Sus scrofa: one gene and its partner. The protein of the gene in region 2 interacts with the protein of the main gene of each other region in a biochemical or structural test. Links are inferred from orthologs where the notes say so. Each region holds a gene or a part of one and is shown on either strand. Other genes may lie near its edges.

The links. The genes of interacting proteins can lie anywhere in the genome.
Region 1: the proteins of CDC34 (region 2) and SKP2 form a complex in vitro, tested with the Homo sapiens proteins (3 studies listed by BioGRID, with this or other methods). The link is inferred for Sus scrofa from reciprocal best matches to the Homo sapiens genes CDC34 and SKP2.

What each region holds. Positions count from the first base shown.
Region 1 is NC_010458.4:21,461,956-21,466,069, forward strand, and holds the start of SKP2 (S-phase kinase-associated protein 2), read left to right. Parts: upstream 1-1,314; 5' UTR 1,315-1,322; coding exon 1,323-1,330; intron 1,331-1,831; coding exon 1,832-2,103; intron 2,104-4,114. UniProt on the Homo sapiens protein: Substrate recognition component of a SCF (SKP1-CUL1-F-box protein) E3 ubiquitin-protein ligase complex which mediates the ubiquitination and subsequent proteasomal degradation of target proteins involved in cell cycle progression, signal transduction and transcription.
Region 2 is NC_010444.4:77,765,401-77,769,637, forward strand, and holds the start of CDC34 (ubiquitin-conjugating enzyme E2 R1), read right to left. Parts: upstream 2,933-4,237; 5' UTR 2,787-2,932; coding exon 2,610-2,786; intron 1-2,609. UniProt on the Homo sapiens protein: E2 ubiquitin-conjugating enzyme that accepts ubiquitin from an E1 ubiquitin-activating protein, and catalyzes its covalent attachment to other proteins by an E3 ubiquitin-protein ligase complex. In vitro catalyzes 'Lys-48'-linked polyubiquitination.

The DNA of each region.
Region 1 (4,114 bases), on a different chromosome or scaffold from region 2:
TCCTCTCCACTTTTATTAGAGTTGGATTTTTTTTCCCCTTCTCTCTCTCTCACCCTGTTTTCCCAGGGTCACAGTTATAGTACAGTTTGCACAGTGGATTTCGCCCGGTCATCATACTCGGAATATGGCACGCTCTCTAACCATCTCCAAACTCTTCTCCGCGGAGGTAGGCAAAAGCAGCCTGCTTTTCAGAGATTAGGCAATCAGCAGCAGCCGGTCGAGAGAGAGCAACCGATAGGCTTTGTTAGTGGCCCCTAGCGTATACGGATACAGTCATGCTAGTGTTGTAAGACTGCTCAAGGCTGCAAAGGGATGCTCAGCTTTGCCACTGCGGACAGGAACACAGCGGTCTCCTGATCCCCTAAAATTCAACCACCACCTTTGACTCAAACTGCGCCTTCACTTACAAAATGCTCTCACTCATGTTCCTCTGGTTTGACCCTGACGGCGGCAAGATGTGAAATAATCCTTCGTTGCCATAGTGCCTATTTTACAGATCAGGAAAGGATCTTGTCCACAGACCCAATCCTAAGGGCTGCCCTCTCCCGGATGGAGGAAGCAGCTCCCGGCGGAGGGGTAGACACAGGCAGGTGTGACGCCCGCGGCCGCAACCTCTCACCTGGCGGGCGGGGCGGGCCACTGCCTCCACTCAGCGGCCAGGAACGTAGGCCCCGCGGCGGCGGCCTCTCGGGGTCTCGTGGGTCCCTCTCTCGCCGCCTGCACTTGGCCCCAGATCCCAAAATGTCTCAGGCTCTCCCCCCTCAGGCTCACCGTCCGATCTCGCCGGACAGATTCCAGAAGGACCTGGAAACCCCCTGTCCGCCACAGCCGTCTGGGGTCTGGAACCCACGCTCTTTGGCGACGGCGGTGGCTGTCACCAGAAGGCCTAGGGGTTCCCGGGAAAAGAAAACCTGTCGCCCGTCAAGCTGCTGCCATAGCCCGGTCGGCTGGAGCACCGCCCACTTCCGCCTCCCCGCCTACCCTGTGGGCCGTCCAGTGCCGCAACCGCGGGGGGTTGTGGGTATATGGAAGGCGGGGAAAGCTGCGAGGAAAGGAAGTAGTGGCGAGGCAGCCGGATTGCCAGGCAGGGAGAAAACTACAATTCCCAGAAGGCAGCGGGGCCGCAGACGGTAGCGGGGAGGAGAGCGGGCAGAAGTTTTCTGCGCGCGCGGTGGGGATGGAACGTTGATAGAGTTCGCGGGTCTCACTGCTGGGGGCTGGAGCCACACGCAGTGCGCCGCCGCGCGCCAAAGCGGGAATCCGGGAGGCGGGCACCTCTGCAATTAATGCACGCGTTTAAAACTCCCGAACCTGCGGACGCCATGCACAGGTAAACCGTTTGCAGAAAGGGGCAGACCGTGAGTGGACCATCTTAATTCTTTTAGGCCGCGAGTTTTGCTACTTCCTAATATTGTTTGTAATGCTGCAATGTGAATGGTTGCTTAACCTCCTCTTTGGGAAAACGTGGATGGGTGGATGCTTTAGTGCTGTGATCAGCGTGCGATATTATTTGGCTTCCCTTATTGGGCTTTTCTGCTCCTGTTTTCAATCACTGTATAATTGCCCTCTTCTTATCTGTTCCATCCACTTTGAGACATTCTTGAGGCCTTCTGCATGATCGTAAATCAAAAAGCCTTTTCGATTTGTTCGGTGTGTTTGGTTCTTTTTTCTTTCATTCTTGGGAACTCGCCGCCGGCACTTAAAATGCAAGTTCAGTTAGCTGCTGTGAGCGTTTTCGGTAATGCATAAGTTGCAGCTTCCTTTAGGCCTGTTTGGAATTATTCACGGGTGTGTTTTTTAAAGGAACGGGGGCTATTGTGCTTATCTGCAGGAAGCACCTCCAGGAGATTCCCGACCAGAGTAGCAACGTTACCACCAGCTTCACGTGGGGATGGGATTCTAGCAAGACTTCTGAACTGCTTTCAGGCATGGGGGTCTCTGCCTTGGAGAAGGAGGAGGTGGACAGTGAGAACATCCCCCAGGAACTGCTTTCAAACCTGGGCCACCCGCAGAGCCCTCCGCGAAAACGGCTGAAGAGCAAAGGGAATGAAAAGGACTTTGTGATCGTCCGCAGACCTAAGCTAAATCGAGAGAACTTTCCAGGTAAGGTATGAGGGTCAAACTATCGGTGCAGTAAGTGGTAGCTTGAAATATTTTGTTGGTAAACCTTTGTTTAAGGATCATTAGGATGGAGCGCTTTTAAAATTGCCTAATTTTGAAGTTATTTTCCAAAGAGATGAGAAAATTCGTTGCTTTAGAAGTTAACAGAAATGTTGGTAGCTGTATATCTTAAGATGCACAATAGACTTTGAATCCAGGAGAATCCGTTCCTGCCTTTCTCTTTAGGAAGGACTCTGCCTGGTCTAAGGCCAGCTTAGTGCCACTGACAAATGAGAACAAAGAAATGATCCTTTAGGATTCTTTTTGTTTATATTCTGCTGCTCTGGTTGAGGTTTTTGCCAAAATCAACTTTACTTATTTGTCAAGGGATTGCTAAAGTGAATGTTGAACTAGGTGGAAGAAGAGACTTCTCTTCCCGGGTCCATCCCCAAGTGGGCTTATTCTGGTATGCTCTGTCTCCATGACTGCCCGTGTTATCTGTTCAATTGCCCAGCCCCCAAACCTGAAAATCAGTCAGATTCCCACCAACCCCAACATCCATCCAATCATTACATCTTTCCCTTTTGTGTCCTGAATATTTCTCAAGCTGTCAACATCTGAATATTGGAATGGACTCATAATTCCAGCCTTATCCTCCCCAGATCCATCCCCCAGAGCCAGAGTGGACTGACTGAAATGTAAAACGCACCACGTCATTCCCCTCTAATAGCTCTCTGTTACCAGGCTTCTCAGGCAGATGAGTAAGTGCCTCCCAGAGTGGATCCAGAACTCCAGGAGTATGCAAAGCCATAGGGTAAACAGTGCACTGACCTGGGGTTATCAGTTTTTCTTGCTGGTAAACCATGTAAACCATTAATTCAGCAAATATTTGCTGAGCACATTTTATATGCTAGTCATTGTTCTAGGTACTGGGGATATAGCATTGAGCAAAACAAAAACATTTCCACCCTCGTGGAGTTTCTGCTTCGGAGAGAGGATGCAGGAAACATAAATCTGGTGTATGGTATACTAGAATACGTGCTATGGATAAAAGCAAAAATGGAACAAGCCAAAAGGGATTGGAGGTCCTTGGGTGGGAAGCTGGTTTGCAATTTTAAGCAGGGCGTTAAGGGAAAACTTCACTTGGACAGCAAGCTTTAAGCAGAAGCATAAAGGAGACGAAGGAATGTGCCATGCACATACCTTGGGGAAGAGAACCCCAAGCAGAGGGAACAGCTAGTGGAAAGACCCTGGGGCATAGGAATGTCATGTTTTTTCAAGGAACTACGTGGAAGCCATATTCCAAGAGTGGATTAGCAAAGGAGAAGGTAGTGGGAGATGGGCTAGAGGTGCTGTTGAGCGGAGTTGTGACGTGACCTTTTAAAAGGACACACTGATGTGTTGAGATGAAACTGTAGGGTGTTGCAAATAAAAACTCAGAGCCTTGTTGAGAGGTGTGGGAGTGATGATAGGCAGTGGTCAGCTTCTGAATAGATTCGAACATGTGAGTGGACAGAGTTAGGAGGCTTTGAAAGTGTCTGTAGAAGAGGTGATCTTGTTCTAAGCTGAAACTGGAGGTGATAGAAGAAGAGACAGATACAAGAAATAAAGATGAAGACTTGCAGAGTGAGGGTAAATAAGTATATACCTAAATTCCCCATCTGGCTTTCTTTGAGGAAAGGTTGACTGGTTGCTTGCTTGCTTACTTTAAAAAAATAATATATATATATATATAGTTTTTTTAAATTTTTTATTATTACTTAATGAATTTTATTACATTTATAGGTGTACAACAGTCATCACAACCAAATTTTACAGCATTTCCATCCCAAACTTTTTTTTTTTTTTTTTTTTTTTTTGCTTTTAACTCTTTCTTTAGGAAAGAGAACCTTCAGGTTACCGTCTGGGGATCTCTATTAGGTGTTGGATTCATTAGAAAGGCAGTAAAGGATTGTGGTGGAGTCAGACAAATCTGGCTTTGCATCCTCATTCTGCTGTTTACCAAGCCTGGGAA
Region 2 (4,237 bases):
GGAGGCAGAGAGCATGGGCTCAGTAGGGCCAGAGCAGGCTGGCCAGGGACCTCGCTGGCCGGCCACAGCTCACACAAACCTGGGGCTTTTTTGGGGTCACCAGAGCTGTCCCCGGTCCCTGCCTGCTGCTGGGGGGCATGGGCACTGCCAGGGAGTAGCTCCAGTCCTGTGGGCCTGGGGGAGGGGCGGGCACATGCCAGCAGGGGCCTGGGCCTCAGCTTCCAGCTTGTGGGGGGATTAAAATAGCCGCGTGTTCACCGGGCAGTCATCCCCACACCTCCCTGGGCAGGCGCCCGCCGTGGGCGGACATGAGTCAGCGCTGGGCGGAGAGGCTCTCTACCCAAAGGTGTCGGTCCTGGCGGGGGGGTCAGGAAGGCGGACAGGAAGGTCACGGGGCAGATGGGGGAGGGCCCTATGGGTGAAAGCTGTGCCTTGGCTTCAGCCTATTTAAGCCCTAGTCCCAGGATCTGGTGGTGCTTCAGGCTCTCAGAGGCCAGGCAGCATACTAGGGGCCACACTGGATACACTGCTGTAGGTCCTTCAACCCATCTGTGGAGAACTGCTCTCCTATGCTGGAGACACAAGGGAAGTCCCTCTGCCAGCCTGGAACTCAAGCCTCAGACTCTGCCCTGGGGTCTCCGAAGCCCAGTGCTGGGTTTCTAAGTGACAGCCCAAGACCAACTGAAGCTTCCTTAGCAAGGCAGGGTGACAGGCCTCCCCTGACTAAGCACCTAGCACCCACCAAGTCCCAGGGTGCCTTTATTGCTGTGCAAACTGCAGCTCAGAAAAGGAGAGCACTTTGCCTGAGGGCACAGAACTCTGGAGGGGCTCCCAAACTTGGGTTTCCAGGGCATGCCTTCATCACCTGCTGCCCAGGACCCTCTGGCTCATATGGGGAAGTGGGTGAGGCCTGGAAAACTCAGAGGAGGAGGCTGGGAAGCGATGGTGGACCCCCTGGCACTTCCAGCCCCTGCTATTTCTGCATCTTTTGGGACACGAGGATCAGAGACCACCGTGGGTCCCAAGCTGGCCTGAGGACAGATGCTATAGCAGGCAGATGAGAAATGTGCAGCACCCTGAACCCAGTCCTTCCTTCTTCAGAAAAACAGGATTATTCCCCCCAAAGCCAGCCTAGAAGGCCCTACCCACAATCCCCTGTAAACAGAGAGTAATAGCCAGAACCACCCCCCTATTCCCCCCTCCCCATCCTTTCCTTTCCTTCCAGAGTCCTGGCCTGGCTGAAGAGTAGGACTCTGCTCTCCCAGCTCTGAGCACCGGCCCTTATCCTCACAGCCAGTTGTACCCAGAAGCACACAAAAGAGACCAGGGAGGGAGGCTGGTTAGATCACTTAGTGAGCAACCCTAAATCCGTGCCCTGCATGGGGAAGATGGATTCCAACCATAGAACTCAGCCCAGAGCTGTCCACACTCATCCCCCCATCCCACCTCAGCAATGCCAGTAGCTCAGGCTGTTCTGTTGAGGTTGCTGAACTAGCCAAAAGTGCAAACACAGAATCTGTCCAGGCGGCATCAGCCTCCCCACCCCCCAACCCAGGCCTCCCAGCCAGGCCTGCAGGGCTCTTGGCAGGGTGTGTGTGTGTGTGTTCGTTCCCAGCTGATGGTTCAGGCCCCATCTCTCACCCAAGGAGACCCCCTGCCTTGTCCCTCTGGCTCAAGGAGCAAAGTCCTTTTGATCTGGGAGGGGTCCCTCAAGACCACGGCTAGACTCAGATCCTCCCCAGGTTTTGGCTGGAGTCCATGACACACAAGTCCCCAGGAAAACACTTGCCTCCCAGCTCTGACAACAAGAGAGAACTGCTTGGATTTAAGCCACCACCGAGGGCCCAGAAACCACGAGAGCTTGAGATTCGGGCCACCACCGAGGGCCCAGAAACCACGAGAGCTTGAGATTCGGGCCCAAGAAGCCAACGACTCATTGGAACCTGAAAAAGGCCAGGACCCCAACCTTCTGAGGTGGAACCTGGGGTGGGTTCTGCTCCGTGGTTTCCAGGGACAGGGAGGAGGGTGGGAGTGACCGTCAGAGAGAGCAGGTTACATAAAGCTCAGGATGAAGTCAAGAGGGCCTGGCCGGCTGCTATCGGCAAGGGTGGACGCTTTCCAAGCAGGTCCCTGCTGCCAAGGCCCCATCCTGGCCTCTGTTGGAACCCGAGCAGGAGGCCGAGCCAGTCCCCAGGCCAGCGGGCCTCCCTCCCCCACTCCCTCCCTTCCTAAGCCGGCGCTCCCCGCAACAGTATTGGCTGGTTGTGGGGAGGCTTTTTTGTCTCCTCTGAGCAGCGAGCAGGGCCGGGAGGCGGGGAACACTAAGGGCTGGGGGAAGCAAGAACCCTGCACCCAGAGAAACACGGAGGGTCCTAGGTTTCCTCTCGGGGGCCTGAAGCGGGCTTAGAGGGGATGGGCGCTTCTCGGGGACTCCTGAGGCCAGACGGGGAAGAAGGGGTGACTGAGAGCCCCGAACTCTCCGGAGGCGGCCAGGCAGTGGAGCAGAGGGAGGGGGCCCCGCGAGGGGAGCGGGCAGGGAGCAGAGGTGGAGGAGGGGCCCCGAGGACCCGGAGCAGGGTCGCTCGCCCGCCCCCCTCTTCGCTGCTCACCTTGAAGTAGCCGCCCTCGTAGTAGGTGTTGGGGGGCCCGAAGATGGCCACCTCCCAGTTGTACAGATCGCCCTCGTCCACCAGGGTCACCCGGAAGCCCTCCACCGGCTCCTCCTGCAGCCCCTTGAGCTCCAGCAGCAGCGCCTTCTGCGAGCTGGGCACCAGCGGCCGGGCCATGGCGGCGGCGGACGGGCCCGGGTCCGGGGCCGGGGCAGGGGGCGCGCGGGGCCGCGGGGCCGCGGGACCGCGGGACGGGCCGGGGCCGGGGCCGCCTTCCTCCTCTGCGCCGCCGCCGCCGCCGCCGCCGCCGCCGCCCGGGGCACCCGGGGGCTCCACTCGCTCTGCGCCGCCGCCCGGCCCTCGCCTCGGCCGCCGCGCCCCGCCCCCGCCGCCGCCCGCGCCTGCGCGCAGCCTGCCCCGACCGCGCCTGCGCGCCCGCCCGCGGGGCACGATGGGAAGCGATCCCTCCCCCGGCCGCCGAGCGCGCCGCCGGGAGCCGGGGGCCGCGCGCGCAGGCGCCTTGGCGCTTCCGAGGCCCTGGGAGGCCTCCGCCGCCCCGGCTCTACGAGCTCCCCTGATGCCTGTGCGCGGGGCCGCGGGCAGGGCTGCGCTGCGCTGCCCCGCCCGGCTCGCGGCCCTTTTGGGCCTTTTTGTGACGTCCCGGCGCGGGGCGGGGCCGGGGCGGGGCCGGCTCGAGCCTCAGTTTCCATACTCATGACCCGGGCCCAGGCTGCCTCGGGCCAGCCAAGAGGGTCCCTCCACTTCCGGCCGTCTTCCCACTTAGGGTGTGCTCTGCCCCACAGTCTCGGGACCTGTTCTGGCCAAACCCCAGATAAAAACTTGACCCCAGCTGTGTCCATATCAGGCTGACCTTTGACTCCAGCTAGCCGGGGGGTGGGGGGGTCTGGGCTTCCCTCCACCTTCCGACCCCGCCTGGCTGACCTGACAGCACTCTGGCCCAGACACCCACACAGCTCTGGGTCGGAGAGGTGTGTATGTGCGCGCGCTCGGACCTGGTCTTTAGCCTTGCAGGTCCGCAGGTGACAGCTCCCCACGAGGGTGGGCATGGCCCCCGTGGCCTGTGATGGCCTTGCTGGCAGGTGACCCGGGCAGCCAGCAGCTGCACCAACACTTGAGGCTGGGCAGAGCTGATTCCCTCCCCCGCCTGCCTGTCACCTGGCCCTGGGCTGGCCCCAGCTGAGGACAGGCAGGTAAATCTGGAGAAAAAAAAAATGTCATCTCTGGGAATGAGCAAAGGAGCCTGAGGAAGAGCCATGGGCAGAGCAGTAGCTTCAGTGGCTCTCATCAATACAGGGGCTTGCCCTGCACACCAGGGGACCTGGAGGGGCCTCCCCTATAGGATGGGCCACACACACTTTGTCCAGAGTTCCAAGTATTCTCTGTCCCTTGTTCTCTGCCAGTGACACCAATGTCATAGTGTTGGTCAGTGGCAGCTTGCTGATAAATAGTAATTAGAATTAATTATGATTCTTCCAGAGAAGTTTCCCAAGATGTATCCCCATGTATATGGCAGGAATTATTGGGTGGGTGGGGAATAGGTAAAGGGAGGTACCAGGTTTACATACTCTGCATTCGGTCCCACTGAGGCTTTGTCTCCCAAGACAGCC